Struthio camelus: one gene and its partners. The protein of the gene in region 1 binds, or shares a complex with, the protein of each later gene. Links are inferred from orthologs where the notes say so. Each region holds a gene or a part of one and is shown in the gene's direction. Other genes may lie near its edges.

Evidence for each region.
Region 2: the proteins of MYO5A (region 1) and RAB11A are in contact, whole or in part, in a crystal structure (PDB 5JCZ), measured with the Homo sapiens proteins. The link is inferred for Struthio camelus from reciprocal best matches to the Homo sapiens genes MYO5A and RAB11A. Residues at the interface, in NP_001369276.1 of Homo sapiens: Ile1660, Gln1661, Trp1738, Met1742, Arg1745, Tyr1746, Ser1749, Gln1750, Glu1753, Arg1756, Gln1777, Gln1780, Val1781, Lys1782, Lys1784, Met1795, Glu1818; in NP_004654.1 of Homo sapiens: Arg33, Glu35, Ile44, Gly45, Val46, Glu47, Phe48, Ala49, Thr50, Gln63, Trp65, Gln70, Tyr73, Ala75, Ile76, Ala79, Arg82.
Region 3: the proteins of MYO5A (region 1) and SPIRE2 are in contact, whole or in part, in a crystal structure (PDB 5JCY), measured with the Homo sapiens proteins. The link is inferred for Struthio camelus from reciprocal best matches to the Homo sapiens genes MYO5A and SPIRE2. Residues at the interface, in NP_001369276.1 of Homo sapiens: Asp1551, Val1554, Arg1555, Thr1559, Ile1562, Asn1563, Lys1566, Ser1597, Gly1598, Leu1615, Thr1616, Asn1617, Phe1618, Asp1619, Leu1620, Ala1621, Glu1622, Tyr1623, Val1626, Asp1629, Leu1630, Gln1633; in NP_115827.1 of Homo sapiens: Arg404, Pro405, Arg406, Val407, Leu408, Leu409, Lys410, Ala411, Pro412, Thr413, Leu414, Met417, Glu418, Met420.
Region 4: the proteins of MYO5A (region 1) and MLPH are in contact, whole or in part, in a crystal structure (PDB 4KP3), measured with the Mus musculus proteins. The link is inferred for Struthio camelus from reciprocal best matches to the Homo sapiens genes MYO5A and MLPH. Residues at the interface, in NP_034994.2 of Mus musculus: Asp1524, Val1527, Arg1528, Leu1531, Thr1532, Ile1535, Asn1536, Lys1539, Ser1570, Gly1571, Leu1588, Thr1589, Asn1590, Phe1591, Asp1592, Leu1593, Ala1594, Glu1595, Tyr1596, Val1599; in NP_443748.2 of Mus musculus: Lys184, Lys186, Arg187, Leu188, Leu189, Ser190, Phe191, Arg192, Asp195, Phe196, Glu197.

What each region holds. Positions count from the first base shown.
Region 1 is NC_090953.1:15,083,502-15,091,223, reverse strand, and holds the start of MYO5A (unconventional myosin-Va), read left to right. Parts: upstream 1-4,708; 5' UTR 4,709-4,841; coding exon 4,842-4,868; intron 4,869-7,722. UniProt on the Homo sapiens protein: Processive actin-based motor that can move in large steps approximating the 36-nm pseudo-repeat of the actin filament. Can hydrolyze ATP in the presence of actin, which is essential for its function as a motor protein. Involved in melanosome transport.
Region 2 is NC_090953.1:3,552,803-3,559,821, reverse strand, and holds the start of RAB11A (ras-related protein Rab-11A), read left to right. Parts: upstream 1-4,015; 5' UTR 4,016-4,294; coding exon 4,295-4,334; intron 4,335-7,019. UniProt on the Homo sapiens protein: The small GTPases Rab are key regulators of intracellular membrane trafficking, from the formation of transport vesicles to their fusion with membranes.
Region 3 is NC_090951.1:1,815,489-1,823,331, reverse strand, and holds the start of SPIRE2 (protein spire homolog 2), read left to right. Parts: upstream 1-4,837; 5' UTR 4,838-4,871; coding exon 4,872-5,088; intron 5,089-7,843. UniProt on the Homo sapiens protein: Acts as an actin nucleation factor, remains associated with the slow-growing pointed end of the new filament.
Region 4 is NC_090947.1:4,446,240-4,453,293, forward strand, and holds the start of MLPH (melanophilin), read left to right. Parts: upstream 1-4,040; 5' UTR 4,041-4,159; intron 4,160-4,240; 5' UTR 4,241-4,304; intron 4,305-4,458; exon of another isoform or gene 4,459-4,594; intron 4,595-4,597; exon of another isoform or gene 4,598-5,046; 5' UTR 5,047-5,061; coding exon 5,062-5,171; intron 5,172-7,054. UniProt on the Homo sapiens protein: Rab effector protein involved in melanosome transport. Serves as link between melanosome-bound RAB27A and the motor protein MYO5A.

The sequences.
Region 1 (7,722 bases):
ATATATATTTCAGTGCTTATTTTTCTAATAAGGCAATTAAAGCTTATTGTTTGAAAACTCTGTAATAGATGATTGTTTTGGTCCCATGTACAGAGTGAAGGGGGATTTCTGGGGATTAACTTGGCATATAGAAGTTTGCATTGCTATAGATTGTATTGACCGGACTATGACAAAGTTTCCAAGAAATCAAGGTCGGGGGGGGGGGGGGGGGGAATCCCACTGATTTTATATTCCGATTGTGACTTAGGTACGGTCTTCTGTGCAACTTCAAGAGCCTCATGGTATGCTTATACAGTTAGTTCATTAACCAGATCTAGGCTAACACCCTACCTGCTCTACATCTGTACCAAACTGAGGAGAACAATGTCCAGTTTAAGTAGTGTCGTCCGGATACCATACTGAGGCAGTGCAAAGGTGGCATTAGCACTAGCGTGAAGAGTCCTAGGTCATCTGAATCTCAGTATATGGGGAGTGGCATCCATTTTCAGGCAAAGTCAAACTGTTTAAATACAGGCTCATTGCCCAAATCTATTTCCAGTTGAAAATGAAGCAAGTAGAGTTGCACAGGCCTGCATTCAAAGGAGCTTTGCATTTGGTAGCTGTGGTCACAGTAGAGTATGCCTGCCTCAAATCAGCAGGGAGACAAGATGGCAGCAAGGTGTTGATTTGATGACTAGGGGGCTTTCTGAGAGATGTGAAAGAGTAGACGGGGGGAGCATGTGTGGCATGTGAGCAGGCAGAGTGCTTTTAAACTTAAAAGTGGAGCTGGGCTGAATGTATGGTTTGATGTTTATTTCTGCTGTAGTACAAGTGAGCCCCCTTCTTGCAGATTTGTCTTTGCAATAGTTTAAGCTCAAAACTTGGCTTTTTCCATCCTAATTTCTGGCATCTTTAGATCCAGAGTAACTTGAAATCCTAAGAGTTCTGTATGTATTCAAGGTGTTTGCTTACATTAAATATTTCTCTTGCAAACGCTTCTGAAATACTTGCACAGCAGCAGATAAACTTTAGCTTTAGTTTAGAGGAAGGTGACTGAATTGTGCCTGTCTTTCTCAGGCTTCTTTTTATTGCAACTGGGGTGCTGCTTCATGTATTTTTATGTATAAGTGTTTTTGCATATTTATAGCAGGTACAGGAGTCTGCTTAATTATGGCTGTGGAAAACATTGCCAAAGACTCCACCAGTTTCAGATGGATGTTTATTTGACTCTAATTTAAGACAGTAATATGAAATAGTTTTTGTTTCTGACTTTGTCTTAATTTAATAGCAGATTCCAGTTGGTGGTTTTAGTTCACCTTATTGCAGGACAATATTGCAGCTGTTACTTAAAGAGGAATATGCTTAGATGATATGTCAGCTTCCCTTGACAGTATTATGGAATAGCCATCTTCTGCCACTTCTGGTGCAGGATAACTTGAATTCGTAGAGACTCGGTTCAACTTCTGGTGATGTTCCTGTCTTAAAAGGAGTGCTAATATGACAGTGTTGTTTCTTACTGGATTTGAGGGGAAACAAAAAACAAAACAACTATAAGGGTCTTGAGAAACAGGTTCTGGATTTTTAAATGTACAGCATTTTCTCGGAGTTGAATTATAGTGCTGAAATGACAAGGATGCTTAGATGCAAGAACTGGGAGGTGCAGGTTCTTCTAAGCAGCAAGTCTGTTCTCAGGTGATGTTTTTTATACTGTTAAAAGAATTTCTGCTATTACATTGAGAGGAAAATAAGTAAATTCTAAAGGCTGCAGAAATCATCCTAGTAGGATGAGAATACTAGGGGAATATATGGGAATTTCATCATGCCGTTAAGAGTCATTATGCTATTTAAGACTACTCTTTTCTGAAAGCCCACAAAAATAGAAGTAAATCCCAAGTTTTATCTGGAGAATATGTACACAGAATATGATTCTCTTATGTTACTTTTCAGCGCTTTCAACTGATTTTTAACTGTTCAGTCAGTACTGGCTGAAAGCAACGCAGTTTGTTTCCTACAGCTAAAAGTTATAGGCCTAATCCTTGATGTGTGAGAATACAGGAAAGGAGAGAGTGAGGATTTTAGCCTGTGAATTCCTGAATTAACTTTGTGTTAGCTTTTTCCACTATCCAGTGGAACCTTGGAATTGAACTGATGGTCAACGTTGGATATACAAGAGCTTTCCTGAGGGAATGGTTGGGCTTATCCACTATATCATATAAACTAATACCATGTTCCTCATGTTACCAGTGTGTGTTATTTCTGCGCCTCTAATGATTTCTGTTTTTCATTTGATCAGCAGAGAATCCATTGATCACTGTGGCACAACATGACAACAACCGAGCATGTAGCCCTAATTCAGAGGGGGATTTTTTTATGCCACAATTGAACAGACTATGAGCATAAACAGAACATGGATATAAGCAAAAGACATGACAGATGCTCTGTAGTTACTTCTGAAGAAAGTTATATAAACTAATCTCAATTCCTAGAAGGATAACTTTCCTACTTTTTTTGATGGGATTGAAATTCAGTATAAAATTGTGTATGTGGACTGTGTCAGTTACGTGAGCCATTCATAGCTGGAATACTGTGTATATATCTGTCCTGAAACAAAATGCCATACATGATCTTTGTGAAAGGATGTTGTGCAAGGTATGAGATGAGGACATCTTTCAAATTTTACCAGCAAGTGTTTGAAGTAGGAGCCACTTGTTAAAGTAATAGCTAAGCAGTCACTCTAGATATATTAAAAACAGGTTGTTTCTCTACAACTTTCATTGCCCCCAATTCCTGTCCTTAATGACAGGTTTGAAATCCTGGTTTATGCAAATTGTGTCAAATCATAGAGTATTTTGGACTCAGCTATCTATTTTTTGCTGGTGCTTGTAATTACATTTGGCTCCTGAGTGCCAGCTGTGAATGGCTGATACAGTAATCCACAGTCCAACTGAACTCCTGAAATGGGCATCCTGAATTTAGGATAGATGACATCCTGAAGAAAGGCTATTAAATATCAGATATGAAGCAACACATGTGCGAGGGGAGATTCAGGTCCCTTCTGGAAATAAAACTGGGGAATTTTTGTGGTCCAAATAGCAAGATTCTTGCATCAAGTCTGTTAAAGGGGGGTGATCAGAGTCGCAAAGCCCAAATCGCTATTACTCCCACTTGTTCTTTTCTGTTGTAGATCAAAGGTGACTGGTAGCTTTGTAGTCTAGATCCCTGTTTTACCATAGTGGGCATACAAAGAGCAGCCGTGCAAACTTCTTGCCTTGACCTGGGCTCGAATTAGCAGGACTCTGTCCTTGGCTTCTCCTAGGACTGAGAGCAAGTGTCCCAGTTCTGTCAATGGCAGTGTGCCACCTAGACAGGGGGCAATGACAGTAATCTCAGCTGATAATCCTGGACATACTGGCAAAATATGGGAAGGAAGGTATTATTTTAATTTAGTTCTGATAAACCAGTTTCAACTTTCTGAACTCTCCCAGCAAAATCAACAATTTTTTAAACTTCTTTTCTGAACTTACTAACTTTAGCTTATTAGCCATGATCTTGTATCTGGAGCTAACATGAACAACTATCAGTAGGGCTCCATATTTTCATCTCAGTTATTTTTCATCTTTTTCATTTGTCTTTACTACCTTCTCTATCTCCTTTCTTTCGGATAGCACAGTAAAGTGCAGCTAGCGATTATAGCATTTATTGGGAGTTTATTCTGGGAGTCCAGGGAGCTTGCTTTTGTTTCTAGCTGTCAAGAGTTGATGTGTAATCTTGAGGCCATCTCTTTCATGGCTCTCTCTATCTGTAGAACAGATTTCTGTATTTCTTTGCTAGCGTTAGCTGCGCGTTTCTGTGGGGGTGCAGATACTATCTGCTGAATACAAAGCTGCTATTTAAACAGCTGAATTTCTCATGGAGATGCTGCTTGAAGACTCAAAGCGCTTTGATGCAGAGTATGGCAAAGATGCCTGTTTCGATCTTGTTTTGTACTCTGGACCGCTTGCAATGAACGATGGCCTGCGTTCCCAAGGCGAAAAAGTAAACTACTCCCGAGACGGTAGTGGCTTCCGTCCTGTTATCAGAGAAGTCTTGCCACAGTGCGCGCTGTAAGAAACTCCAGTTAACGAACGATTCATAAAGCAAATGAGCTCCCTTCTCACAACCCAACCCGAACATGGATTCTGCTTGTCGTTCTCTTGACGTGGAAGTTAAACTTTTCCAAGACGTGCATCTGTTTCCCTCGGGGAACTGGGCTTGGCTTACCTAAGGGGGCCCGTTCTCTTCCGTGTTTTCGTTAATGCCCTAGGTGATAAAGACGCACAATTCGTAGAAGTTACCAAGCTGCAAAAGGCTGGAAATACTTGGACATTTGGGATTATAATCAGTGAGAGAAAATACTGAAAGGGGAAAAGGCTGCGCTTTAAAAGGCAGACACGCGAGAGGAGAAGAACAGGCGCGGTGGCAGGAGGGCCGCCGCGGAGGGAGCGGGAGCGACCCCGGGGCCGCCGCCGCGCCAAGGGCGGCTCTCGCTCCGCCCGCCGCCGGCGCCCCCGCCGCGGGGCGAGAAACGCGCGGAGCGGCGCGAGCCGCCTTTCGGCCGGGGGCTCGCGCGTGACCCGCGCCGGGGGCTCCCGCCTCGCGCCCCCCCTCCCCCCCCCCCGCGGCTCTGCGGGGGCGCGGAGCCGAGCGGCACCGAGCGGGCCGCCCGCCGCCGCCGCCGCCTTCCCACAATGCACAGAGCGCGGCGGCGGCCCCGCAGCCCGCCAGGTAGCGACATGGCGCGCCGCGCCCGGGCCGCCGCCTGAGCATCCTCCACCTCCTCCTCCTCATCCTTCTCCTCCTCATCCTCCTCCGCCCGCAGCGCCATGGCGGCCTCCGAGCTGTACACGAAGGTAGGGCGGCGGCGGCGGCGGCGGCGGCGGCGGGCCGGGGCCGGGGCCGGGGCTGAGGGCGCGGCGGGAGCGGCCGGGGCCGGGGCCGGGGGCGGAGGCGGCGCGGCCCCCCGGCCCTCGCGGTGCCGCCCTGAGGCGGCCGCGCCCGCAGTGGCGAGGCGCCGCCGGGGGCAGCGGGCCGGGCCGGGCCGGACCCCGCGCTGGGCGCAGCGCGGTGCGGCGCCTCCTGTGCCCAGGGCCGCTCCGGCACCGCCGCTCGCCGGCGGCGGGACCCCGCTCCTGCCGGCCCGGCCCGGCCCGGCCCGGCCCCGGCTGACCCGACCCGCCGCTGCCGCCGCCAGCAGCAGCAAAACCCCGCGTTTACCCCTTCCCCAGCTTATGCAACGCACGCCTCCCGGGAGCGAGCCCTTCCGAAGGGTTTAGTCAGCTTCCTAGTTACGTGTCGCTATTTTTAATATGTTTGGATTGAAATAACGATTTCGTACGGTTCTGTGTCGTTCAGCCACGTCTTCCAAAAACGTCGTCAAATTCCTTTTAGAGAAGCAGCTGCTACAGCATATATGGTGGGGGCCTCGTGGCGTTAAACTAACCTTTCTGATGACACTGCACCTTTAGATCGCGTTCGTTCTTCTGGCAGGCGTTCGCACTCCCTCCAGCCAGCGGTGATGCGGGAGGTGCCTCTCTCGCAGTTTTTCAACAGACAATATTTTGATCTTTTTAGGTTTGCGTTTCAGTATCTCATCAGCTTGTACCCAGAAGCAGTTATTGCCCTACGCATCTTTCTGATGGGAAAACTTGCAAATTGAGAGCTGTTGAAATGATCGTTTCATGCATTAGCAATGCATCGTTTTCATTCCTCTGTCTAGTTATAGCGCAAAATATCTAAAGAAGAGTGGCTGACCATATGTTCTTCAGGGCAGAAGGGATCATTGGGGGGGTCACCCGACGCGAGCGCCATGGTACAGTGCAGAATTCCCCCAAACAAGTTTAAAAAGTCAAAGTCTGCTTTGCTGAAAGGCGTGTCATCTAGATCTTTGAACCGCTTGATGAAATACTCCTAAATTATCCCCAGTCGAGTTCTTTGTGTGAGGAGAGAAAGAGAAAGGAAACAGCCTGTTTGTTTTGGCATGAATAGTCCACCTTATTTGTGGAGTCCACCCCGTGAGCTATGGTAGCCGGCACCCTGCACATGCATCGGTACAAATCAGATTGGACAGTCCTTTCAGTAGGCTTCATTGGCCACATCTGAATAGTGTATTTGTGTAGACTGAATGTAAGGAAGTAAGATATGTGCCTGCATGCCCTAAAGAAAGCTAAATAAACTAGTGTATATGATGCATCTTTATGTTTTATATCTCACAGACAAGTATCTGTATTAACTGTAATTGCAAAAGGGGTGAAAATTAGCACTCTGGTCAAAAGCGCAATGATGGAGTAGAGTTGTTCGCAAGCACCCAATGGAGTTTGTCTATGCAAGGAGTTATTCTGGAAAGTTGATCTTGATTTACCTCTCTCTGTGGATGTTCTTGTTACGGAATTAAAATGTCCATATAAGAAGTTAATCCGAGATACTTATTTTTTGTTTTAAATTCAATCCCTGTCATAGCTGGAATTCACTTCCTTGGAAGGTTAAGTCCTTTAGTCAGAGACTACCCCAGGAATGTGGGTGTCCTGTTGTCTCGGCGCTACATTACAGTGGAAAGCTCAGGGCCGCCTTCCAGTTCCTGAAGAAGGCTTGCCTCTGGTACAGGCACCTGGATATGGAAGTCGCTGGGGGCAGAAAGAGAGACTGTCTTTGCATCCTTCCCCTCTTTGCCTGCTTGTCCCCAGGTAAAACCATCCTGCTATTCAATCAAGTTCAGTATCTCTTTTAGCGAGTAGCAACAACAGACCTCATCCTTGATCAAGTAACATAAATAATGGATTTAAGATTGGAGTGGGAAAGCTAAAAAAAAAAAAAACAAACAAAAAAGACCAAACAAAAAAGCAAAACAAGTGCAGGGTATAGTGCTCCAGTAGGGGACTTACTGCATGACTAAGATCATCGAGATTGCTTCTGTGCTTTACTCACACAACAGGCTATTCTTATCCTCTTTAAAACCATATGTAGGCACAGGAAAAGTGACTTTCACATCTTTTTTTATACTGGCAGGCACGTTCAGGATTGTCATTCAGGACAGCTCTTTAAAGTAGCAGAGCATCCAACTTAAAAGTGACACTTAACATATGGTACTGGCATGTATGTTTTGCTGGCGGGTAAGGAAGGGTATGAGTTTGTAGTGCAAACTGACTGGGCCAGTGCTTGTGTGGTCTGAAAATGAGTATCTGAAAGCTCACTTACCCCTCTTCCACTGTCAGTCCACGTTCCAGCTTGTCCAAGTTGCGCAGATAGCTGTGTTTGTATGAATTACTTTCTAAAAAAGTTGATAAAAATATATAAATAACTGGAGTGCCAGTGGTGCAGAGAAGTTATCAACATCTCTTTAAATATTGCCTGAGAAAGCATGAGACTTTGTTTTTGTTTCATTTTTTGTTTCAAACTGCTGTTTGCAGAAGTGGAGGTCTGTGCCTTATCCCTCAGTGCGTCCAGTTTTGTTAACATCCACTGTGAAGCCTTCAAACTTGGCTTCGCTGCATGCCAGAGTGAAAATAGTGCCCTCTGTCCCAACCACATATGCTAACTTGAAATAGTATACAGGAGCCATTATTTTCCCAAGCTAAATTATTTTTTATCAGAAGCGAGCTACGTATGTTTTCCCAGAAGTCATGCCGCTCTTATGAAAATCCTCTTCCTTTTATTTCATGTATATGTTTGTTTAAATTTGGTGACCGTATAGACAGCCTTATTGTTGTA
Region 2 (7,019 bases), about 12 Mb from region 1:
GGTTCCAGCAGATTGTTAATCTTTTCTAGGGCTGCTGCCTTCTCTATCTTTCTTCAGATCTTTAGAAAACTAGGATGAGGTTAGGAAAGGCTTTGGAAAGATCCAGATCCAGATCCTTTGTTCTTCCAGCTCCAGAGTTAGGAAGGAAAAGGCTGATTTACAGAAAATGTTTTTGAACATTTCTTGTTATATGAGCTGTAGAAGTAGAAGAAGAATAGACTGTATGCTGGCGTTCAAATAAGTTATCAACAGAAAAATTCTCTCTACTCCATGCATTTTTATTACTCCTACCTCTGGCATGGAACTGTCCGAAAATAGAACCCGTTGTACATCATAGACCCTTTGCTCTGGTCCAGAGCCCTAAAAAGAAAAGTTTGTTATTTCAACGGATGGATTTTATACTTAAGCTTTCTTTTTTCTGATTGACTTATGTCAAGTCGGAGGTAGTGAGTGCTAAAAGCCTGCTTTTCATCTCTAATGTGACTGCTGCATTGGAAAGCTTGAATTATCTCTGCATAATTGCAATGATTCATGGTTTGTTAGAAAATTGGAAAGTATCGATTGGATTTCCCCCTTAGGAAATATTTCTCCTGTGATAGAGTAGGATGGGTTGTGGGGCTTTGCTTTTGTTCTTCCTGCCTTCTGACAGGGGAAGCTGGTGACTCCTTTCACCTGGGAAACAGGAATTTGGGTCAGCAGCCATTCAAGGGCAATCTGAATTATTGTGACTCCTACCCCAAATCATTCCCTGAGCTGCCAATTTCATGGGCTTTGCAAAGCGTGGATGGAGAATACAGAGTCAGAAGATCTGGGACCAGCAGCTCTACTGCTGAACTACTGCCCCTGCCTTATTTCAATTTCTTCTGTTTCCATGTCAAATCCAACCAGTGCTTTCTGCAAAGAGACCCTGACCTTGTTGTGGGAAAGCTAGAACCGCCAAAGATGGGGGCAAAACTCCTCTTACTTTTTTTAGGTGAGGATTCCTCTTAGGGTCGCAAGAGTAGGTGGCAGGAGCAAAGTGGGAGAATGAAGCGAGGGTGCGTGGGGGGAGCCGGACACACAGCGCCTGAGGCAGAGCAGGTCTGCGCTGACAGCCCTAACGCACACACCTGCACATTAAATGTGCTGCTGTGGCAAAATCTGGGGCCTTTTTGGCCACTGGTGTATAATTTCCAGAAAAGTACCATAAATACACAGTTATGAGTGTGTCCTCTGCTTCTTTTCTTTGCTAAATTGAACATCCAAGGTCCAGCTGAGTATCAGTCCTTGTCTCTGCTCCAGTTGCTTGCAACATGCTGCCACCACAAATGGTCTTTTCTAAGCACAACGTGAAGAATTAACAGCCAGTGAAAATTCAGGGTTTGCAATGAACTTAGCGTTCCCACAAGTACAGCACTAACGGCAATTAACGAAGCAGAAATTCCAGCGCTGAACGACTTTCTTCACATTAGAAGCTGCCAGTCCCAGAGCACATAGTCCTCTGCTATTTCAGGCCTGACCTCTGCTTCTTGGCCACATTTCATACGAGCAGGAGGTGTCCCAGGCCATCCCGTAACGCAGCAGCACACTCTAGGAGGGGACACAAAGAAGGAGCAGAACAGCCAAAACAGTCTTTGCTAACAGTGGCATTTCCTGAGGATTTGTACATTCTCACCTGGGCTTTTCATGATCAGGAACAGAATTAACCCAGCACTGACCAGACTATAAGGCTTTTTAATTTCTAGAGCTCCCTGCTAGTCCAATGCTATCCTCATTTACTGCTATCAGTTTACTCCTGTTCAGACACGCAGTTCTTTCTGCTATTTCAGTTTTGCCTGTCTACACCATGAAGAACCTGAATACAAATGAGCAAAAGCATTTAAATGGCTCAGCTAGAAATAACCCCTGTGACTACTCACGTACATGGCAATCTGCTGAAATTTCATATTGCAACACATGATTGGCAATGCCTTGTTTAATTTTGCCAAGTTGTAACTGTACAGCAATGTAGGGGCCGTCACTTTTAGCTCCGCCGGAAGAGCCATTCTCCTTACTTTGTGCCAGTTCCAGACTAGGAACATCTGCAACTTGGTGCAAGAGGAAGTGACTCTTACACATATGAAAAATGCAAATAAAGGGTGTTTCCAGGTTCTCAGCTGACAAACAAAATCCAAAGCACCAAAACGAAACAACTCTTACAGACAGCCAACTAAAAATACTTCAACTGGGCTATTTTAATTTTTTTTTTTAAGTAATAGCATCTTTGAAGGGTGAAACTAGGCCTGGGAAACGTCAGGTTAAAATTAACAGTTTTTTAATGACAAAGTTCAATGGCAGCCTGAAAATAGGATGTGAGATGGAAACTACAGAGCTATAAATACACCACAGCCTCTACACACATCAGAAGCCATTATTAATTTTAAATCCCGTCTTGCTGCATCGAGATAACTTCAGAGAACAGAGCGGCAGGAGCGGCCTAGCATTTTCAGATGCATTTTGAGCGTCCGGGGTTCATCTGGAGAGAAAAAGGGTCAACGCAGAGACCGCACATACTCCCGCAGACCTCGTGGCTGCGCTGCTACCCGCGTGCTGCCTGCTGCTGCGGGGTTTGGTCTTGCAACGCCCGTAGACACCGTTATCCCCGCCTCGCCTGCAGAGCCGGACCGCGGAGCCGCGGAGCCCTCAACACTAAGCGGGTTTCGTGCACGAATGGCGGCGAGAAGCCGGACGTCGCCACGCGCCCCAGGAAGGAAGCCAACGGCGGCCCTGGGCTCCCGCTCCACTTCCGCGCCCCTGGGCGGCCGGACTCTTACCGGGCGACTCGGGCTTCGGCTTCACACCGGGCGTCTTTGTTATCGGCGTTCCTCGCCCAGCAGCTCCCGCCTGGCTGAAGCCGCCGGAAACGTTTTCGAAGCGCAAGGCGCGCGCCACGGTTCGCTCTCGTTGCAGCCGACAGTCGGTGCCGGGCCGGGTCGCGGCGGGCGCCCCAGGGTTGACGCCCAGCGGGCGGCAACGGTAACGCCGCCACTGGTTGTAGCGATGGCTAACTCACAGCTCCTGCTGACGGCAAGCCGGTGGGAAAAGAATGAGTTTTCAGGGTTTCGGTTTAATCGTCTGGACATGAGGGCTATTTTTATCTTTCGCTATTTAGGCCTCCGGCGCGCGCCGCGGGAGCCAACGGGCAGGACCAGGCGAGGCCTTGGCCAGCGGACCCGGAGGACGACCAAAACGCGGCCGGTCGGTCTCTGAGCCGGCCTCTCCGCTCGTTTCCAGAAGAAACCCAGCTTTCAGCAGCTCCTGCGGCGCGGCGGCCCCGTTTCCCGCCTCGGGGCGGCCTCGCAGCCTCCCGCAGGCCCCGACGCCATTTTTGCTTCTCCCTCACGGCCCCGGCGCCATTTTTGTCTCTCTCTCACGGCGGGAGCGTGGCAAACCTGAGCCGCTTGGAGGCGAATACCTCCGCCCCGGGCTGGGATGCACCTCGTTAACTCAGAGTTCATTGACGTGTCGTTACGTGCCCCCAGATTGCGGGGCTGCTGACCGCTCTGTGAGCCGTGGTGGGTTTACCTCCGATCCGCCTTGGTCTCGGCACAGTTGGAGACAGCTCTGGGGTTTTCTCCCTCAGAAAATTAGCCCCCACGGTACCGTCCTTGGCCCGTGGGGACAGGGCGATGGTAGCCACTCCCCAGCGGGGGAAAGGACTAGCGGGCTAAAATCAGGAGAAAGTGTGAGGTGTAATCGTTAGATACGGCCCTGTGTCTGTGGAGCAGCACAGAGTGGAGGGGAGGAAGGCGTGCGCCTGGCCACTGCTCAGGCAGAGGACGAACAAAACCGACGGGGGCGGGGGGGTGGGAAAACAGAAGAAAAAAAAGAAAATTTCAGGTTCCACCGAGATTTGAACTCGGATCGCTGGATTCAGAGTCCAGAGTGCTAACCATTACACCATGGAACCGCTGTGGTCATCACCCGCCCCGCCCGCCTCTAATGCTTCCTCCGCCCGCTCCGCGGCGGGGCGGGGCCTGCGGGGCCGGTAGGCGGGGAGGGGCTCTGAGGGGCGGCGCCGGGCGGCACCGCACTTCCCGCCCCGCCTTGGCGACGGCGCCGCACCTTTAAGGGGGGGGGGGGGCACTGTCGCCTGTCTCCGGAAGTGACGTGTACCGCCGCGGCGCTGCCCCGGAAGCATCTCTCTGTGGGCGGGCGAGCGGAGCGCGGAGGGCGGAAGCGCTGCGGCGGCTGCAGGGAGGGGTCCGGCTCCGGCTCCCGCTCCCGTTGCCCGTCCCGGTCCTCGGCCTCCCGCCGCGCCTCGGTGCACCGCACCATGGGCACCCGCGACGACGAGTACGACTATCTCTTCAAAGGTAACGGCCTGCGGCGGCCGGTCGCCATGGCAACCGGAGGGGTCACCTTCCCCGAGGAGGGGGAGGTCTGGGCCTGGCGGGGGGCAGCGGCCTCCTCACGGGACCGGCCCTTTTCGGCGGGGGGGGGGAGCGGGTTTGGGGGGGCTCCATCGCCACTCCTTCGGCGGCCCCCGCCCCCTCGGGCCTTTTTCCCCGGAGCCCTTGGCGGAGGGGGGGGTCGTTGCCCGGCTGCCGCCTGGCGGGGCCGGTCCCGGGCGGTGTCGGCTGCGGGCTGGGGGTGGGGGTCGGGGCTGCCCCGGGGCCGGCCCTGGGGGGATCATGGGAAGGGGGCCGCCCTCCCCCGGGGCGCTGCCCGGCCGGGGGCGCTGCCCGCGGGGAGTCCCCGACCCTGGCTCGGAGGTTTCTGGAGCTTCATCGCTCGGGCGGCGTTGGGAGCCGCTGCCCGCTCCGGAGCGCTGCCTGCCGGCTTTGGTTGTTCTCCCCGCAAATAATGGTAAGTTTGGGCTGGTTTCCATTTCAGTGATCTGGCGTGCTGTCTGTGTCTTGTTTAAGGCTTCTGCTCTGTCAGTGGGCTGAGGTGGCAGCCAGCCTTTAGGAACAAAGATCCTAAGTGAGAATGCCCAAGATGGATAAGAATTACTTCCTTTTACAGCTTTTAAATGGAACTGTGAAGAAAATAAATTGTTCTTACGTTTAACGTTAGTAGAAAATGTAGCTAACTAATAAAATAGTATTATTTGTCTTCTGTGTTTTCAGTCCTTCCTTAGTTAACTCCTATTTCACAGCCAGTGGTCTTCCTTCTTGGCACCTCATATGGCACCCAGCAGAGTAGAGCAGGAACACCTTATTTTCCAGGACTGGTGCACCTTCAGTCTGCTGTACATCAGTGAGTTAGGTTAAAGATGTTTGATTGCCTTAAGTATTCCCTTTTCACTCCCTGCAGTCCAAAAAGCCAGTCTGCTGTGAAGGTTCGTAAAGCATGCAGTGAAACCCAAACTGAAATGCTGATGTTCTGAAGTTGCTTGCTTCTATGATAGCGTTTTAAAATTGGATATTTGGAATATTTTTAAAATAGCTGTTTACTGTGATACTGTACTGGACATCTGAGTTTAGGATTTATAATACTCCTTGGTACATTCTCATGGTGAGAGATGCGATTACTGGCATCGTGAAACTTGGTTGCCTAAATGAAAGAAGCAGTGTTACTTTCTGTGCTCTTAATTTCCTGTAACAACTTTGAGGAATTTAATTTTTTCTGTCTCTTTTGCCCAATTTCCATGTGGAAAATGACATTATTTCTGAGTATAAATCAGTCGTATGTACAGCAATTAAAATCAGGTCAGTTCCAAAAAGTGCCCCTCATATTCGCTTGCAGCATATGCAAAGGCCTCTCTGGCCACTAATTTAATCACAGTGAACAGTCTTATTTTAGGTACTTATATCTACAAGTTATCCAAACCATCACTTTACTTATTTATAAGTTCTGTCAGTGATATGCTTGTGATTAATGTTGAAGCTATGAAGGTGTGAGAATATAAGTGAAGTGGGGTTTGTAGGGAGACTTGCCATCTTTTAATGAAACTTCTTGTATAATGGGGAAATATTTCATGAAGCTGGGATCCAGTTGTATAGAAATGTTCAAAGCTAGTTTAGTTAACTGTCCCATCCCAAAGCTTTTTGTGTTAAGGTTATTTTATAGATGGGATTGAGAGTATAGGTGATGCTATGAAAATAGTGCTGTGAAGTGCTGATTCAGGTTTGTCAAAGCCAAAGGCGACTGCAGGAGGTTCATGCAACATCACATGAACTGAGATAAATATTTAGCTGTCGGTAGCTGAAATAACATGACAACAAATGCAGAGTGATACAAACTGGGGGAACAGTTGTAAATACGTAAATGTGTTGGTGATAGCAAACAAGCTATCACCTCTCTGGAAAGATCTTGGAATTGTTGTGAGTAGTTCTCTGAACCTAATGGCTCGTTACTAGGCACTGGTCAAAAATGCAAGTAGTAGGTAAAAAAAAAAAAAAAAATTACTGAAGATGACCTGAGAACTTAATGGGAGAATTATGCCAGTATTTGAATCTGAGACATGAACTTCTTGGATTGAAAGGAAATGCAGGAAGGACTGTCATACCCCTTTCAAAGGGGTTGTTACAGAATTAAAAAGATGGAGAAGAGCATCAAAATAATCAGGAGAGAGACCTAAAAGATTCATATTCCTCATCTTGAAGTGAAGTGCAACTTTATTAGAATTAAACTGAGTGATACAGACAAATAGGGAATAATCTCCCTGAAGACATATGCAAATTTTGGAGCAGTTTATTGTCATAAACGAAAGGTATAAATGGGTTTGAAAGGTTTTACAGATCCATAGGGGAAGAAAAATCTGGGGCACTCTTATTGTGATGATTAGAACAGAAAGCCTGAAGGTACTGCTTGTTTGAAGATGTGAGGGCCTGCTAGGACAAAGATTAGTTTGTTTGTTCTCTTATTCATAGTGTTTCTCAGGCATCCACTCTGGGCTGCTATCAGACTGGGTGTTGGTCTATAAGGACGCTTAATCCAGGAGGACTGTTCTTTTGGGCTTACCAACTTTAAGGCTTGTGGTAGTTGGGGGTTGAGTTCATAGTTTGGCTTGCTTTAAAATAATAGGGTAATATTCTGTAATCTGGCTGTCTCTC
Region 3 (7,843 bases), on another chromosome or scaffold:
CCGAATGGCACGGCGACGCTGGGAAGCTCTCGCTGAACTCAGGTGTGTTCGTGTCTGGCCACATCTGGGGACGGCAAGCAGCACACATAAAGAGTGAGCTAACTTTGTAAAATGTTCTCTCCTTTCACGACCCGAGTTTATTGTGACACCTAATGAAACTGGAATATGTGCATCTAACCCCACAGGTGCTTTATGGAGTCATCTTTAATTCTTGTGGCTTTTTAAGGATATTTTTGGCATATGACAAAGGAAATCCATGTGAGTGTCTTACCTGAAAACAAACATTGCATGCAACACGCAACCCTGCTGCCAGCGGCTCTGGGAGCCGCGCGGGGAAGGGCTCCTGCCCTCCATCCCGGCTCCGCATCCATCTTTGCAGCACATTGTGTTTCAGTGCGGAGGGTGGTAGGAAATAGGAAGCACTTTATAACCTTTTCCCAACCTTTTCATTTTGTCCTATTTCATGTACTTTTATTTAAACTTCCCCTGTGCACATACACACTTTGCTTTTGTTTGATTTTTTCCAAGATGGTGGCTTTTAATTACATCTTGATTTCATATTAATTACAGTTTTACCCAAAGCAAAGGGCTTTGTGCTTTGTAATTCAAATATATTCCCATGAATCCTGCAGGCTGCGTTATTATCGTGGCCTTCAAACACCCCGCATCTTTCCTGCTGCTATCCCCGACGGTGCCACCCTGGCTGAGCCTGGAGGGCACCGGCAGGTGTGTTCAAACGCGATGCAGAGCAGGAGCCAGCAGCCGGCTCAGCCCCACGCGTACCCCCTGCAAAGGGCAGCAAGCCGATGCTTCCTCCCTCTAAAGTCACTTCCAAAGCAGGCTACAAAGCTGGCTGATTACAGGGTAAATGGTGCATTCCAATCTCATCTATCTGTGCAGATGGAGACTCAGACTTGAGTGTCACAGCCCAGAAGTGCCATATTTTCCTTCTCAACGCTGATGGGGCTCCCTCCAGCTGGCCGGTCGGTCCTGCTCCTGTTCCTATTCCCCATTTCCTCCCCATCGGCTCCTTGGACTGCACCGGAGCGGAGCCAGGGGTGCCAGGGATGACTGCACAGCCGTCTGGCCCATCCCTGTGCTGCAGTGACGGCCAAGCACGTCACAGCGCCGGTAGGGAGAGGTGGCTGAGCCGCAGCTCCTTGTCTCTTCCCTGAGCATCCCTTTGGCCAGGGGAGCAGACGTGGGTGCTCCAGCATGCCGGGCAGCAGCCTCGGACACCCGGGATAAGCCCTTGTCCTCCAGACGTGCTTCGTGACACCCAACACACCACGCTACCTTGCCTCCCTTCTGCCTCCTGCGGGGGAGCCGTGGGGCGGCTCAGGCCAACGGGACCAGCCGCACGTGGGGCTGGGCAGAGGGAGGCAGCTGAGCCCCCGAACAAAACGCCATCCTTGGTCAGCACTTTCTTTGGGCAGGTTTTGATCAGAGAGGCTTAACGGGGCCGTTGCTGACTCGCCCCCAGCGTGCCCACTCCCAGCCCAGCAACTGGTGCATTTGATAACCCCGCAGACACACAGACTTCGGGGAATCCCTGTCTGCCCTCCTCCTTCCCGAATCCCAGCAGGCACGTGCAGGGTTTCTCTCCAGTTCTGCTGTCGCGTTTCCTTCGCGCACTGATCCCACTAATGCTACGCACGTTCCCCCGTCCTGGCACCGGGGCAACTTCCAGGATTTCTCTTCTCTTGTTGCTGGGACAGACAAATACCCGTGCACCAGCTCCATCCCTCTCATCAGCCTGTCAGTGCAGCTCGCCTGCCCTCTGGGCTGGTTCCAGTTTATGCTCATGGGTTAATAGAGCTGAGATGGGCTAGGATGATCCTTCTATCATGAAAATGGATAGCTCATAATGACAAGAGCTTTAATTTGCTCCAGCTGACCTTTCACAGAGGGCCCCGCTGCTCTCTCTGCTCTCCAGGACTGTCTTCCAGAAGGGAGCGAGGGTCTGGAGGGCCTGCTGGGTCTCTGCCAGCCCTGTTTTCGGGCACCGGGCCATACCACCGTTTCCTGATGACAGCACGACCTTGCCGCCTGCCCTGTACCTGTGGGCCATCGGCCTCCACTCGAAGAGCGAGAGAGACTCCAGCTCCCCATCTCAGCGCTTTCCTGACGGCTTCTGCTGGTTGTGGTCAGGCTGAAATTATACTGCAGCATAAAGAGCTCTTCTAATTCGCTGCTTTTCCTCCCTGCTATTTTTACTGTCACGGCTGGACCTCTTCTCCCCCTGGCTGGCAGGACTAACCAGCCCAGCTCTCCACGCTCCTCTCCCCTCTGCGCCGTCCTCGCAGCTCACCTGCGCGTGAAGTGCTCCCCGGTGAGCATGGGCACCAGCGCTGCACGCCGCGTCTCGGGGGCTGCGCCAGCAGCCCCACTTGGCTGGAAGCGTCGCCCTGCCCGGGGCTGCGCTGCACTGGCAGCAGCTCGCGCATCACCTCCCTGCCCTGCTGGGCCTTTCCAGCCAGGGCGACCTGGGATTACCCCAGAAACTCCCGCTGCTGGCGTTGCCCGTGCTTGAGCTGTTGATTTTCAGCCCACATTCTCCTATACTGGTCGGCAAGGCTCGCTCCTTCCCAGGTGACCTCTGGCCATTGGAGGTGACCCAAGGCCATACGGGGGCCGTGCACACTGGGCTGCGGATGCCGATCCATGGGGTGAACACCTCGTTGCACATGTGCCCCCAGAAAGCTCCTGGGAAAGGCCTCCACCGCCACCAAAGAGGAGCAGCAGCAGGATTTCCCCAGCCCCGGGCGCTCCCGGGGCTCCCAGAGCTGCGGTGTCCTCGCAGCCAGCAGCCCCCGCTCTGCCGGTGCATGCGGCCGAGCAGCCACCCTGCTAAGGAAGGCTGGGGCAGATCAGTTGCCCAGGACAAGCTCTCGGGAGCTAATCATTTCCATGCCTCTGGTCTGTCCGGTCCGGGGCTGAGCCACGGGCGGTGCCCATGCCACAGCAGTGAGGTGGCAGTAGCCGCAGCGCTGAAGTGGCCATACCAGAGCTTTTAGGTGGCCGTGGCCAAGCCATACCTGCACGGGGCTCACTAGGGCGGTGCTATATGGACCAGGGCATGCTGCACTGGCAGGGTGCCTCGAGGTGGCAGGTGTCACCCCGGTCCCCAGGGCCCTTCCTGCTGCCAACCCCCATGCATCTCCCTCACATCACAGGTGGGAGGACAAGTCCCGGCCCTGAGCCCCCCCAGCAGGCCTGCACTGGGGCAGCATCCCACAACCTGCTCCACACCCTGTGCCCTGCACCCTGCTCTGCGCCTGGCACCCTGTGCCCTGCAGCCAGTCCTGTGCAATGCACCCTGCAGGAAGCTGTGTGCCCTGCACCCTGCGCCCAGTTGTGTGCCCTGTGTCCCACACCTTGCACCTTGTGCCCTGCACCTTGCACCCTGCACCCCCTCATGTGCCCTGCATCCTGCACCTGTGCCCTGCATCCACTTGTGCCCTGTCCTGCAACCCGCCAGGTGCCCTGCACCTTGTGCCCAGTTGTGGGCTGTGTCCTGCACCCTGTGCCCTGCACCCCGTTCTGTACCTGCGCCCTGTGCCCTGCACCCAGCTGTGTGCATTGCACCCTGCATCTGGTTGTGCACTGAGCCCTGCACCGTAGGCCTGGACCCTGCACCCTGCCAGCCCAGACAATCTGTGCCAAGCAGAGCTGAGCAGAGCTGAGCTGAGCTGAGCTGAGCCAAGCCAAGCCGTGCTGAACTGTGTTGAACTGAGCTGAGCCAAGCTGAGCTGTGCCGAACCGAGTCAAGTCGAACTGAGCCTAGCCGAGCCGAGCCGAGCCGAGCCAAGTCATGTCGAGTCATGTCAAATCGAACCGAACCGAGCCGAGCCAAACCGAACTATGCTGAGCCAAGCTGTGCCCAACTGTGTTGAACCGAGACGAGCTGAGCCAAGTCGTGTCGAGCCCTGTCGAATCGAACTGAACCGAGCTGAGCCGACCCAAGCTGAGCCGACCTGAGCCGAGCCTTGTCGAGCCCTGTGGAACTGAACCAAATCGAGCCGAGCTGAGCTGAGCTGAGTCGTGTTGAGTTCTGCCGAGCCAAGCCGAGCCGAGCTGAGCCGAGTCGTGTCGAGCCCTGTCAAATTGAAACAAGCTGAGCCGAGCCGAGCCGAGCTGTGCTGAGCTGAGCTGTGCTGAGCCGAGCCGAGCCCTGCTGAGCTGAGCCAAGCCGAGCTGAGCTGAGCTGAGCCAAGCCGAGCTGAGCTGAGCTGAGCTGAGCCAAGCCGAGCTGAGCTGAGCTGAGCTGAGCCGAGCTGAGCTGAGCCAAGGCGAGCTGAGCTGAGCCGAGCCAAGCTGAGCTGAGCTGAGCCAAGGCGAGCTGAGCTGAGCCAAGATAAGTCGTGTTGAGTCCTGCCGAGCCGAGTCCTGTAGAGCCGTGCCGAGCCGAGTCCTGTCGAGCCGCGCCGAGCTGAGCTGAGCCAAGGCGAGCTGAGCTGAGCCAAGACAAGTCGTGTTGAGTCCTGCCGAGCCGAGTCCTGTCGAGCCGTGCCGAGCCGAGCCGAGCTGAGCCGCGCCAAGCTGCACCGAGCTGAGCCGAGCCGTGCCAAGCCGTGCCATGCCTTGCCGCGCCAAGCCGAGTCCTGTCGAGCCCTGCCGAGCTGAGTCCTGTCGAGCTGAGCCGCGCCGCGCCGTGCCGTGCCTTGCCGCGCCGCTCGGCGCCGCTGCGGTCGGTACCGCCCAGCCCGGGGCGCTGCCCCCAGCGGCGGGCGGGGCGGGCGAGGCGGGGCGGGACGGCTCGGCTCGGCTCCGCGCCGCTCGGCTCCGCGCCGCCCCCGGCCCGGCCCGGCCCGGCCCGGCCCCCCGTGCGGCGGCGGCGGCGGCGGCGGCGGCGGCGCGGGGATGGGGCGATGGCGCGGGCGGGCGGCGGGGGCCCGCGGGAGCTGTCCCTGGAGGAGGTGCTGAAGTGCTACGAGCAGCCGCTGAACGAGGAGCAGGCCTGGGCGCTCTGCTTCCAGGGCTGCCGCGCCGCCGCCGCCGCCGCCGCCGCCGCCGCCGGGCCGCTGCGCACCGCCGACATCCGCCTCCGCGGCGACGGCAGCGTCGCGCTCCCCGCCGCGCCGCCCGGTAAGAGCCGCCCGCCCCGCCGCCGCCGCCGCGCCGGGGCACGGGGGAACGGGCTGCGGGGGAACCGGCATCGGCATAGGGCCACCGGTACCGGTATGGGGCGATCGGCACCGGTATGGGGCAGCTGGCACCGATGTGGGGCGACCGGCACTGGTATGGGGTGACTGGCACCGGTATGGGGCGACCGGCACCGGTATGGGGCGACCGGCACCGGTATGGGGCGACCGGCACCGATATGGGGCGACCAGCACCGGTATGGGGCGACCGGCACTGGTATGGGGCAACTGGCACCAGTATGGGGCCACCAGCACCAGTATGGGGTGTCCAGCACTAGCATGCAACTGGCACCGATACAGGGCCGCCGGCACCGGTATGGGGCAACCAGCACTGGCAGCGGGGGTGACCGGCATCAATACGGGGCGAGTGGCACCAGTATGGGGCAACCAGCACCGGCAGTGGGGGTGACCGACACTAATATGGGGCGACTGGCACTGGTATGGGGCAACCAGCACCAGCAGTGGGGGTGACTGGCCTGGCATGGGGCAACCGGCTTCAGTATGGGGTGACAGGCACCGGCATGGGGTGACCGGCACTGCCAGCGGGGGTGACCAGCACTGGTATGGGGTGACCGGCACTGCCAGCGGGGGTGACTGGCGCTGGCCAGGAGGACCGGCAACAGCACTGCGGCTGCGGCACCGGGAGCACTGGCAGCAGGGTGACAGGCACCGGCAGTGGGGACTGGCACTGGGGAGAATGGGTGGCCGGGCAACGGGAGTCACCATCCGCAGGGGCACCAGACCTGGTACTGCAGGCACTGGCGGGGGGGGGGGGGGGGTGGCTGCACCGGCACAGCCGGGACCTGCATCAGCACTAGCACAGACAGGGGGTGGGCGCACAGGGGTCCAGGCCCAGCACGGCACCCGCACTAGCACCAGTACCAGCACGGTAAGGTTGGGCCCTGCCCTGAGAGAAGGTTCCCAGCTGATGCTGGGATGCATGGGGTGCGCCGTGGGTGTGGGTGTAGGGGCTGTGGGGTGTAGGGTGTATGGTGTGTAGGGAGTGCGCGGAGTGTAGGGGGTGCCCGTGGGTGCAGGGCTCACGGGGCTGGCAGCAGGACACACAGCAGGGACACGTGGGGACACACAGCAGACACACAAGGGACACGGTCACACGTGGGAATGCACAGCGCACGCGTGGGGGTGACACATGCACAGACGTGGAGACACACACACACACACAGAAGCAGAGACATAGGGACACAGAGCACACATGTGGACCCACCTGCACATGCATGGGGACACACAGCACACAGGGGAACACACGGAGCACACGCAGGACACACACATCACACACGTCAACATGCACACAGCGCATGCCTGGACACACATGCAGCACACAAGCACACTGACACGCACAGGCTCCCCAGCCCTGGCCACCCCACGCCCTCACCCAGGCACCCCGGAAGAGGCCGTTTGGAGTAGCACTCTCCCCAACCTTTGGACCTGCCGGCCGTGCCCTCTCTGCAGGCGGTTGGCGCTGCTGGGTAGGGCCAGCTGTGTTTATGGTCTGTAATTATGGCCTGTGCCAGCAGCAATGATGGGTGGCTCACAGCAGCAGAGATTAGTACCCCTGTGCCTAATGAGAGAGCTTGCACAAATTAGGCTTAACCCCTGCCTCGCCCCGCATGGGAGGTGAAACACCTCTCTCTAGCGCTGGCTGGAACCTGAGACATTTGCTGGCTCCTCTGAGGTTCAAAGATGGCTCTTGGTGTTTCACATTATCAGTTGCTGCAGGGCTTCCCTGGGGTGTTTGCAGCCAAGAGGTGCTGCGGTGTCTGCGTGTCCCTGCTCCGGGCAGGGGATGCTGCGGTGTCTGCGTGTCCCTGCTCCGGGCAGGGGATGCTGCGGTGTCTGCGTGTCCCTGCTCCGGGCAGGGGATGCTGCGGTGTCTGCGTGTCCCTGCTCCGGGCAGGGGATGCGGCGGTGTCTGCGTGTCCCTGCTCCGGGCAGGGGATGCTGCGGTGTCTGCGTGTCCCTGCTCCGGGCAGGGGATGCGGCGGTGTCTGCGTGTCCCTGCTCCGGGCAGGGGATGCGGCGGTGTCTGCGTGTCCCTGCTCCGGACAGGGGATGCTGCGGTGTCTGCGTGACCCTGCTCCGGGCAGGGGATGCGGCGGTGTCTGCGTGTCCCTGCTCCGGGCAGGGGATGCGGCGGTGTCTGCGTGTCCCTGCTCCGGGCAGGGGATGTGGCGGTGTCTGCGTGTCCCTGCTCCGGGCAGGGGATGCTGTGGTGTCTGCGTCCCTGGTCCGGGGATCCAAGCAGGAGATGCTCCCTGGTGCACAGGGCAAGGAGGGAGCCGAGCAGGAGATGCTCCCTGGTGCACGGGGCATTTGTCTGCGTAGCCAGTGGCCAGAGGAGGTGGAGGTAGCCCGGGCTGGGCTCCCCATGGTCTGTGCTGTGCCCAGGGGCCAGGTTGGACCCGTGGCCCTAAGTCCTGTGCTCAGCAGAGACCTCTCCTGGCCCAAGCTCGGAGCTACGATTTTTAAGTTAGGTGAACCCAAGCATGCTGAGGGCTACGGTCCTGCAGGACCAGTGCCCCAAGCTGCAGGCCACCACGCTACCCCATGTGGCCTCGCCGTCTCCTGCTCCTAAATCCTTTCAGTACCATCCTGAGGGATTTTTCCCCCTCTCCCCTCTGAGTGGTTCAAAGCCATTCAAAGCCATATGATGAATCGGGGTCATTCACTGTCCAAGCCCA
Region 4 (7,054 bases), on another chromosome or scaffold:
AACATCTCCCCCCAGGCACAGCTATATTGCATTGGGTGCTGCATGGTTGCACACGGTCTTCTCGGGGAAGGGAGCGCAGCCAGACAGCCTGAACAAGGAGCGTTTTGTTTGTGCTGGTACACCGAAGGGCCAGACCTGGATCCCAGGCTTTCCTTTGGCTTTATCTTTTTTAAAATCTCAGTACAGTTCGCGTTAGGGTCCTCTGCCTTTCAGGGCCGAGGGGTTTGCGTCAGAGATGATGTTGAGCCCCTTCCCGCTCCTTCCCCCTGGCCACGATCTTGGGTGGATGGGGAATTAAAAAGCAAAACCCTGCTCTGACTCGCTCCGTGGGCAGCGAACAGGTCCTTCGCCAGCGTTTCTGTTTTGGGGTTTCCCGCTGGGGGAAACGGTCAGTTGTTCTTCCCGTTCCCAGGCATGAAGCACTGTCAAAGCTGCTTTTAGGCTCTAAGTTTTCCTCTCTGAAGATCTCAGCTGACTTCTAGGGCCCCACCCCTGATTTTCTTCAGACAACAGAGTCCTTTGCTATCATCTGGCTCACAACGTTATCTCCCCACCATCAGCTCTTAGCGGACAGGCAGTTAAGTAGCAAAGGAGAGGTGCGTGGGGTCCATTTGTTCTTTCCAGCAACATTAGCTCTGCCTAGAGACCCCCTCTGAACTCTGGCAAAGCAGAAACCGGTTCAGTGGTGACAGCCGGTATTTGCAGACAGCCTGAAGCAAACGCTCGAGGCATGCGTGAGCCGCTTCGTTTCTCAGGCAGTTAGCTCTCTCAAACTCTGCCCGCGCGCTTAAACGCAGTTCATTTTTGACCCTGCTGGTTGAGTGAACGGGCACATCCAGTTAGCGTCCTCGCCTGGTAATTCTGATTTTTCTCTCGCATCTTCTTCGGCGATCAGGGTTTCGAGTGTGACTGACAAAGCCTCCGGCCTCTTCCACAGCATTTCTGTCTGTGTGGACGGTGCTAATCCAAGTCCCTGACGCAAGCCGTGATCCTGGGCACCACACAAACTACACGTAAGACAAGGGGGGAGGGGAACAATGGAACTGTCTGAATGACCCTCTCGTTAATTTGGTAGGATCATTTGAGTTTGATGTCTGCAGGAAGACTTCCACTTCGTCACTGTCAAAATGATATGAAAACCTTAGGTTTTGTTATAAAATGGATGGGGCTTATCAACTGGGGCAAAGGCACATCATCTGCCTCAAGACAAGATTAATACGGCCTATGTCACACCTGAGCTGTTCTTGAAGACCTCCAGCTTTGCCCTGTGATCCTTTGAAATATTTCTGCTCCCGGCCCAATCCGTGGGCGTTTCACATCAGAGAGGTATTGAACCATTGATCTCCGGCACAACTCCCCTACATCAGTGATGGGGAACTCGGTGACCGACGTTACCCAGACCCAGGCTCTGACGCTCAAAGAGCTTCTCAAATCGCATCTCGCAGACCGCTGGTAGGATTCGCGCATGGCTGCTGCAAGTCTGCTTAGCCCAAAACACTCTGTGTTTTTGTCTGTTACTGCTGGGTTGCAATAGGTAACAACCCATTAAAACAGCTGTGTCTAAAGTGGCCTTGAAGTCACGCTGATTCGAATGGGATTAACTCGTGTTTGCTCAGCTCCTGTTTACCTTAGGAATTCCTATGAGCTTCAGAGGGTGACAGCCTTTGCCAGGTATTTTACCATCTGTCCACGGGCGGATACTTGAATTATATTTTTAATCTCCGCAAATGATACGCTGACACAGTTCACCCGGTTCAGTTTACTAGTGAAAATCCAAAGGCAGAAGGCTGTTCCTGTGCAAAAATTCAGTTCCCGGCGGGACCCTCGCCACCAGCTTTTAGGAGGCAAGTGTCCTGGTGTTCCTTCGTACTAAGGCAACACTCGGGGAACAGAGGTTGGAGATTGTGCAGCTTTTCCAAGGCAAGCCGGAAGCAGAATACGAACTGCTCAGTCTTCCTCGTGGTAGTAAAACAAATGGTTTCTAATCCTCCATGACTGCAGCTTTCTAACTGCAACCAATGTCGGAGCATCGTTTTTCCATGAAAATTAACCAACAGATGTTGAAGGACCGTTTTGTTTACGTGAGGCTCCTGGAGTCATTCTGGTTGCCTCCACAGGAGATATGGTCATGCAGGGACATGATTAAATAGTCATATTAATAGTAAGACCCGTAACGACGCCTGACGGGTCATGTGCAGAAGTAGCTGCCGCACCGTAACCCCCACCCCCCGCCTTTCCGAATCCTGCTTGTTCTGCTCTGGCATGACCAAGATGATAAGAGGTCTTTATAAAACCGCCGAGAAGACGAAGGGAGGAAAGAATGTGATCACAGAGCTAAGAAATCTCATGACTCGGAGATGATCGCAGAGAGGCGGAGGCAGAGGCACCCGTGAGTCTGCGCCCAAGGCTCCCTCAGAGGCGGCAGCGAACGCTCGCTGCTGCCTTGTTTGCCGGAGCTGGGCTGCTTTTCGCTCTGCCGCCCTGAATCGGAGCCTCGCGTCCGCTTGGACGGCCTGGAGGAGGTGCCACCCGTGGCTTTGTCTCCGTCCGGCTTTCAGAAACTCCTGCCAGGCTGGGATGTCCCCGCGCTGGGAGCAAGGCCGCCGGCGAAGCGCGGGTCGTGCTGAGCTGGATGCAGCGTGGGATGTGCTGCCTTCTGCGTCCGCTAGTCCCGCGGCGGGCAGCGCGCGCCGTCGGCGGCCTTTGACAGTCGGCGCGGCTGCCCGCGTCCACAAACGCCTGCTTTTCTGTGCAGGGTTGTGGCAACCTTAAAGACGAGAGCCCGGAAATTCCCCCTCTTCTATTATCTGGCAGGACCAAAACCACAAATTGAGCTCAAGCTTTGTCCTTACCGGTTTTAGCTTGTAACGCTTCTCTCTTCTGTCTTGCCAAGAGGAGGTCTAGGCCCCAAACTCGACTGAAATAAAGGGCTTTGGGCTACATTAGGCTGCCAGAGGTGCCCAGCTAATGGGAAATACTTGATTTGCCTCCTCCCTTGCACCTTCACGTGTGGTCGCTGCAGGTCCTGGTGTCATCTGGCTTTTATGACTTGTGAGCGTGGTTCTGTTTGGTTTCTTTTTTTTTTTTTCTTTTACACAACTTGGAAAGATTTGGGGGCCTCTATGCATAATTGTAAGAGGAAGAAGCGACAGGGTAAGCCGCTGCGGTCGGGCGGATTTCATTTTCTTTCCCAAAGCAGAGGCTGCGCTCGCTGGAAGCTGGCGATTGCCGCAAAATTCAACAAACTGGCTTTGCAAGAGGGGAAAAAAAAGAAAAATCTCTCTCTGCTGATTTGTACACGGTTGTTTGGGGGAGAGAGGGGGCCTGGAGTTTCCCCAAAGGAAAGCACTTATCGGGGAGAAAATGCAATACTCGCAATTTATTCTGTGCCCCCGCATCCAGGAAGCTTCCCGGCGGGATGGGTTTTTTTCCAGCTAAAGCAACGCTTCCTGGGGCTGCCGGCGCCGCCGAGCGCTTTGCTGACCCTACGCGGGAGGCCCCATCTTCCCCGTTTTATACAGCCTCCCCCCTTATCCTGGGGGTTGCGACTGGTCCCGAGAGGCGAGCCGGTGCCCGCCGCCCCCCCTGCCCTTGTCCGCTCGCCCTTGCATGCAGGACGGGGGCAGGAGCGAAGGCAGGCGCCTCAGCTCTTGGCGCAACCGTACTAAAAGGCCCTCGAACAGGGTCGCCTCGTGATGTTAATTAGTATCTATTGACCCGCTTCTCCCGCTGTTTGGAGGCAGCGGGCCGGCGCTGGCTCTCAAACGCGCCCTTACGTAAGGAGCAGCTCAACCCACGTCTCGCCGCTGCCGACGGACTCGTTGCTCTTGGTGCCATCGCCTCTCCGCTGGCAGAGGGGCTGGAAATCGATGTGCGACTGCCAGCGTCCCCCCCGCCTCCGCCTCCGACGTCTAACTCAAAGTTGCATCTGCGATAATTCGTCCCGGTTTGGATCCGGAGCCTCATCGGCGTTTCCACTGAGCTACCAGGGTGGAGAAATCTCTGCACCACGCGGACAAAAAGCAGTGGCCGTAAAAGCCGTCCTACCCGGCCGGAGGGGTGGCTGGCGGTGACAGGGAGACGAGTGCCGGCAGACTGCAATTTCCTTTCCTGGCAGAGTGGTTTTTCATCCTCACCGCTGCGCTCGCTCTTTGTTTAGGTGCCTGTTTGGGGGGGGGGGGGGGAATGTTGATATTTGCCCTGATAAAAGACAAGAACTGAATTTATTTTCTTATCCCAGTCGCAGGGGGGTCCTGCTCAGTGGCGCAGGGAGAGTTTGGCAGAAAGAGCGAGCAGCGAATACGGTAACGAAGCCAGCTTTGGTAACCGAATTATTTCAATGTCAGTATATTCCTTCTGCTAGACGACGCATCCCAGCCTTTTTTTTTTTTTTTTTTTTTGCAAATCCTATCAAACCTGTAAATCAGGGAAAGTCTGTCCTGTTTGCCACCAGAAAAGCTCAGCTTCCCGAATCGGCCGAGCCCCTCCCGCGAGAGCGGTCGGAAACGCGTGGCGCCGCCGTTTTCGGCACGGTGACGCTGCTGGTGGCGTCGGCCCCCTCCCAAGCACCGTGGCCTGCCCTCCCGTTTTTAAGGTCGGGCGTTTGAAGGTTGGTTGGAGTTGCCTGCACCCCATGTAAAGCAGGCGGCTAGGCTGCAAATTAAACGTCTCGTTTCAGGGAAAGCCAGGCAGGCGAGGTGTGGAGTTGCCTGCAGCTCTGCCGGTGGGACGTGGGGGAAGGCAGGGCGGCTTTCCCGGCTGGCGGGGAGTAGCCGCAGCTGATAAGCCCCAGCCAGCCCTGCTGCCTGCCTCCCAGGGCGGGATCTCCTGGCAGACCGGCCGCCGCGTCCCGAGGAGCTCGGTCGCCCGCCGAGAGCCCTGAATGAACCGGGTTGCACGGACAGCCCCGGAGGGGGAGCCGGGCTTTTCCCCTCTGCCGGCGCCCGGTCTCTCCTAGGGTAGGCAAGGAACGGGGCGGACTCGGGTCAGCGGTGCCGCCTCCTGCACGGCCCTGCCCGAGACGCGGCTGGGGTTTTTGTCCTTTAGACTCGGCGGCGCGAGATGGGAAGGAAGCTGGATCTTTCCAAGCTGACTGATGAAGAAGCCAAGCACGTTTGGGAAGTTGTTCAACGGGACTTTGATCTGCGGAAGAAAGAGGAAGAGCGGCTAGAGTGAGTACCTCCTCTGCGGGTTTTTGCGAGGCTTGCTGAAGGAAGCCGTGGCCATCGATTCCCGTATGTCCTGCTGAGGAGGGGATGTAGAAATAAAGCAAAAGATTGAATCTGTAAGCGAGGAGGAACAGCCAGGACCTGACTGTGACTCACACGTAGTGATTAATAAGTTATCAGCTGCAAGGTGATGCTTTCTGGCTGCAAAGGTGCAAAACTGGCATTCTTCCATGGGGCGTGAGCATTGACGCAGATACCCGTAAAACAGACCGTTTATGTGTCTTAAGTTTCTGGCCCCGCTGAGGAAATGCCTTTGGCTGCAGTTGGGTTTGATACCTGTATGGATTTCACAGGGAGAACTTACTTTAGAGCAAAGCGATCAGATTTGGCTCCCTTGCCTTTGTTTTATTTAACAGTTCTCATGCATTCGCTACAGGAGGGTGTTCGGGGGTCCTGGGAGTCTACAGGTGCCTTCTGGAGGATCCTTGGAGGATAACTGAGAGGAATAAACCTGTTGTCAGTAGGCTTAGGTATGCTGTACAGGGGTCTATGCCATTCTCGGGAAATTTTAAGGATCTGCAGAGTGGGCAAAGACTGAAAAATCACTGGAACAGCAGATTGAGATATCATCCAAGTTCTTGTACCTAGGACACTAGACAAAAGTGCAGGTTAAAAAAACGTTCTGCCTGATCAGTTGAAATTTTGAGCGTGAGAAGATTCCCTGGCCTTGTTCATTACCTTGACCTCAAAAGTTTCTTGGATTTTTTTAAGCAGCTGCAGCATCCCTGTTCAGCCTAGTTAGGGTTTGGCTAAGTTTTCCTTTTTGTCTGAATGTGACAGACAGTGCTCCAAGGCCACCTTTAGGCAGTGCTGCACTTCTGCTAACCCCACTTAGCTCTGGGTTTCACAGGCCAGCCAGATGGCTCAGCCACCGTCTAGGGACTGGGAGCTCCTTGATTTCTCTCTAGAGATATCAAAAAGGATCAAAAAGGAGTGACAAGGGATGGTGTGGGTGAGGGTCATACTCCCTCGATCTTCACTTGGGAGCATCTGCATCTGAGCAGGGTCGAAGCTCAGTCGGTGAAGGAGTGGAGGTAACAGACACTCGAAGTGCAGTACCGAGGCAAACAGGTATGATTAGCTGTTGCTGGTGAGTTTGTTAAATGTGAGAAATGCCTGCTGCTGGCTTCAGTCCAGCCGTCTTCTTGTGCAACATGTTGATTTAGAAGACGACTGCATCCTTTTATACCTTTTTCACAGGATTTAGCAGTTTGTTGCTGAAAAAGGCCAAAACCAGGGCCGTTCACATTCAATTTTACAGCAGCTTTGGGGAGAAGTCAGCTTGTAGGTGCTTTGTTTCCCCAGTGACAGCGGGGTCTTGAGAAGCATCCCCAGAAAGCTGGCGGCTGTGGGCTTCCCGTGCAGGACTGCCCATCGCCTCTGCCTGGCAAACCGCTTCTACGCGGTGTTTCATAGCACGCGTCTGAGCGCTTGGCTGGGGACGGGTGAGTTTGGGTGCGTTTGCGTTTCTGGTCGAAGCAGGCGAGAGAAACCGTGCGTACCTGCCGCTCGCCGCGCAGCCGCAGAGCTCGGCCAGATTCAGCACCCCTGGCTGGCAGCAGGCCAAAATTCCTGTGCAACCGGCTCGCACTGATAGGGTTGCCGTGCTGAGCCGTCTCGTCCGTTGTCTGCTCAGAGCGCCCCGTCCAGCCATCAGAAAGTTCTCAGTCACGAGTTTTCGACTCTCCTGCTTATCTTTTGTCTAAGAAAATCCAGCCTGCGTGGGCGGCGGAGATAATGCAGCATCATCGTCTACTGCCTTCCTCTGCTGGTAGCTCTGAAGTGCAGGATGGAGATGGGACAAGGGCATTTAAAAATATATACGA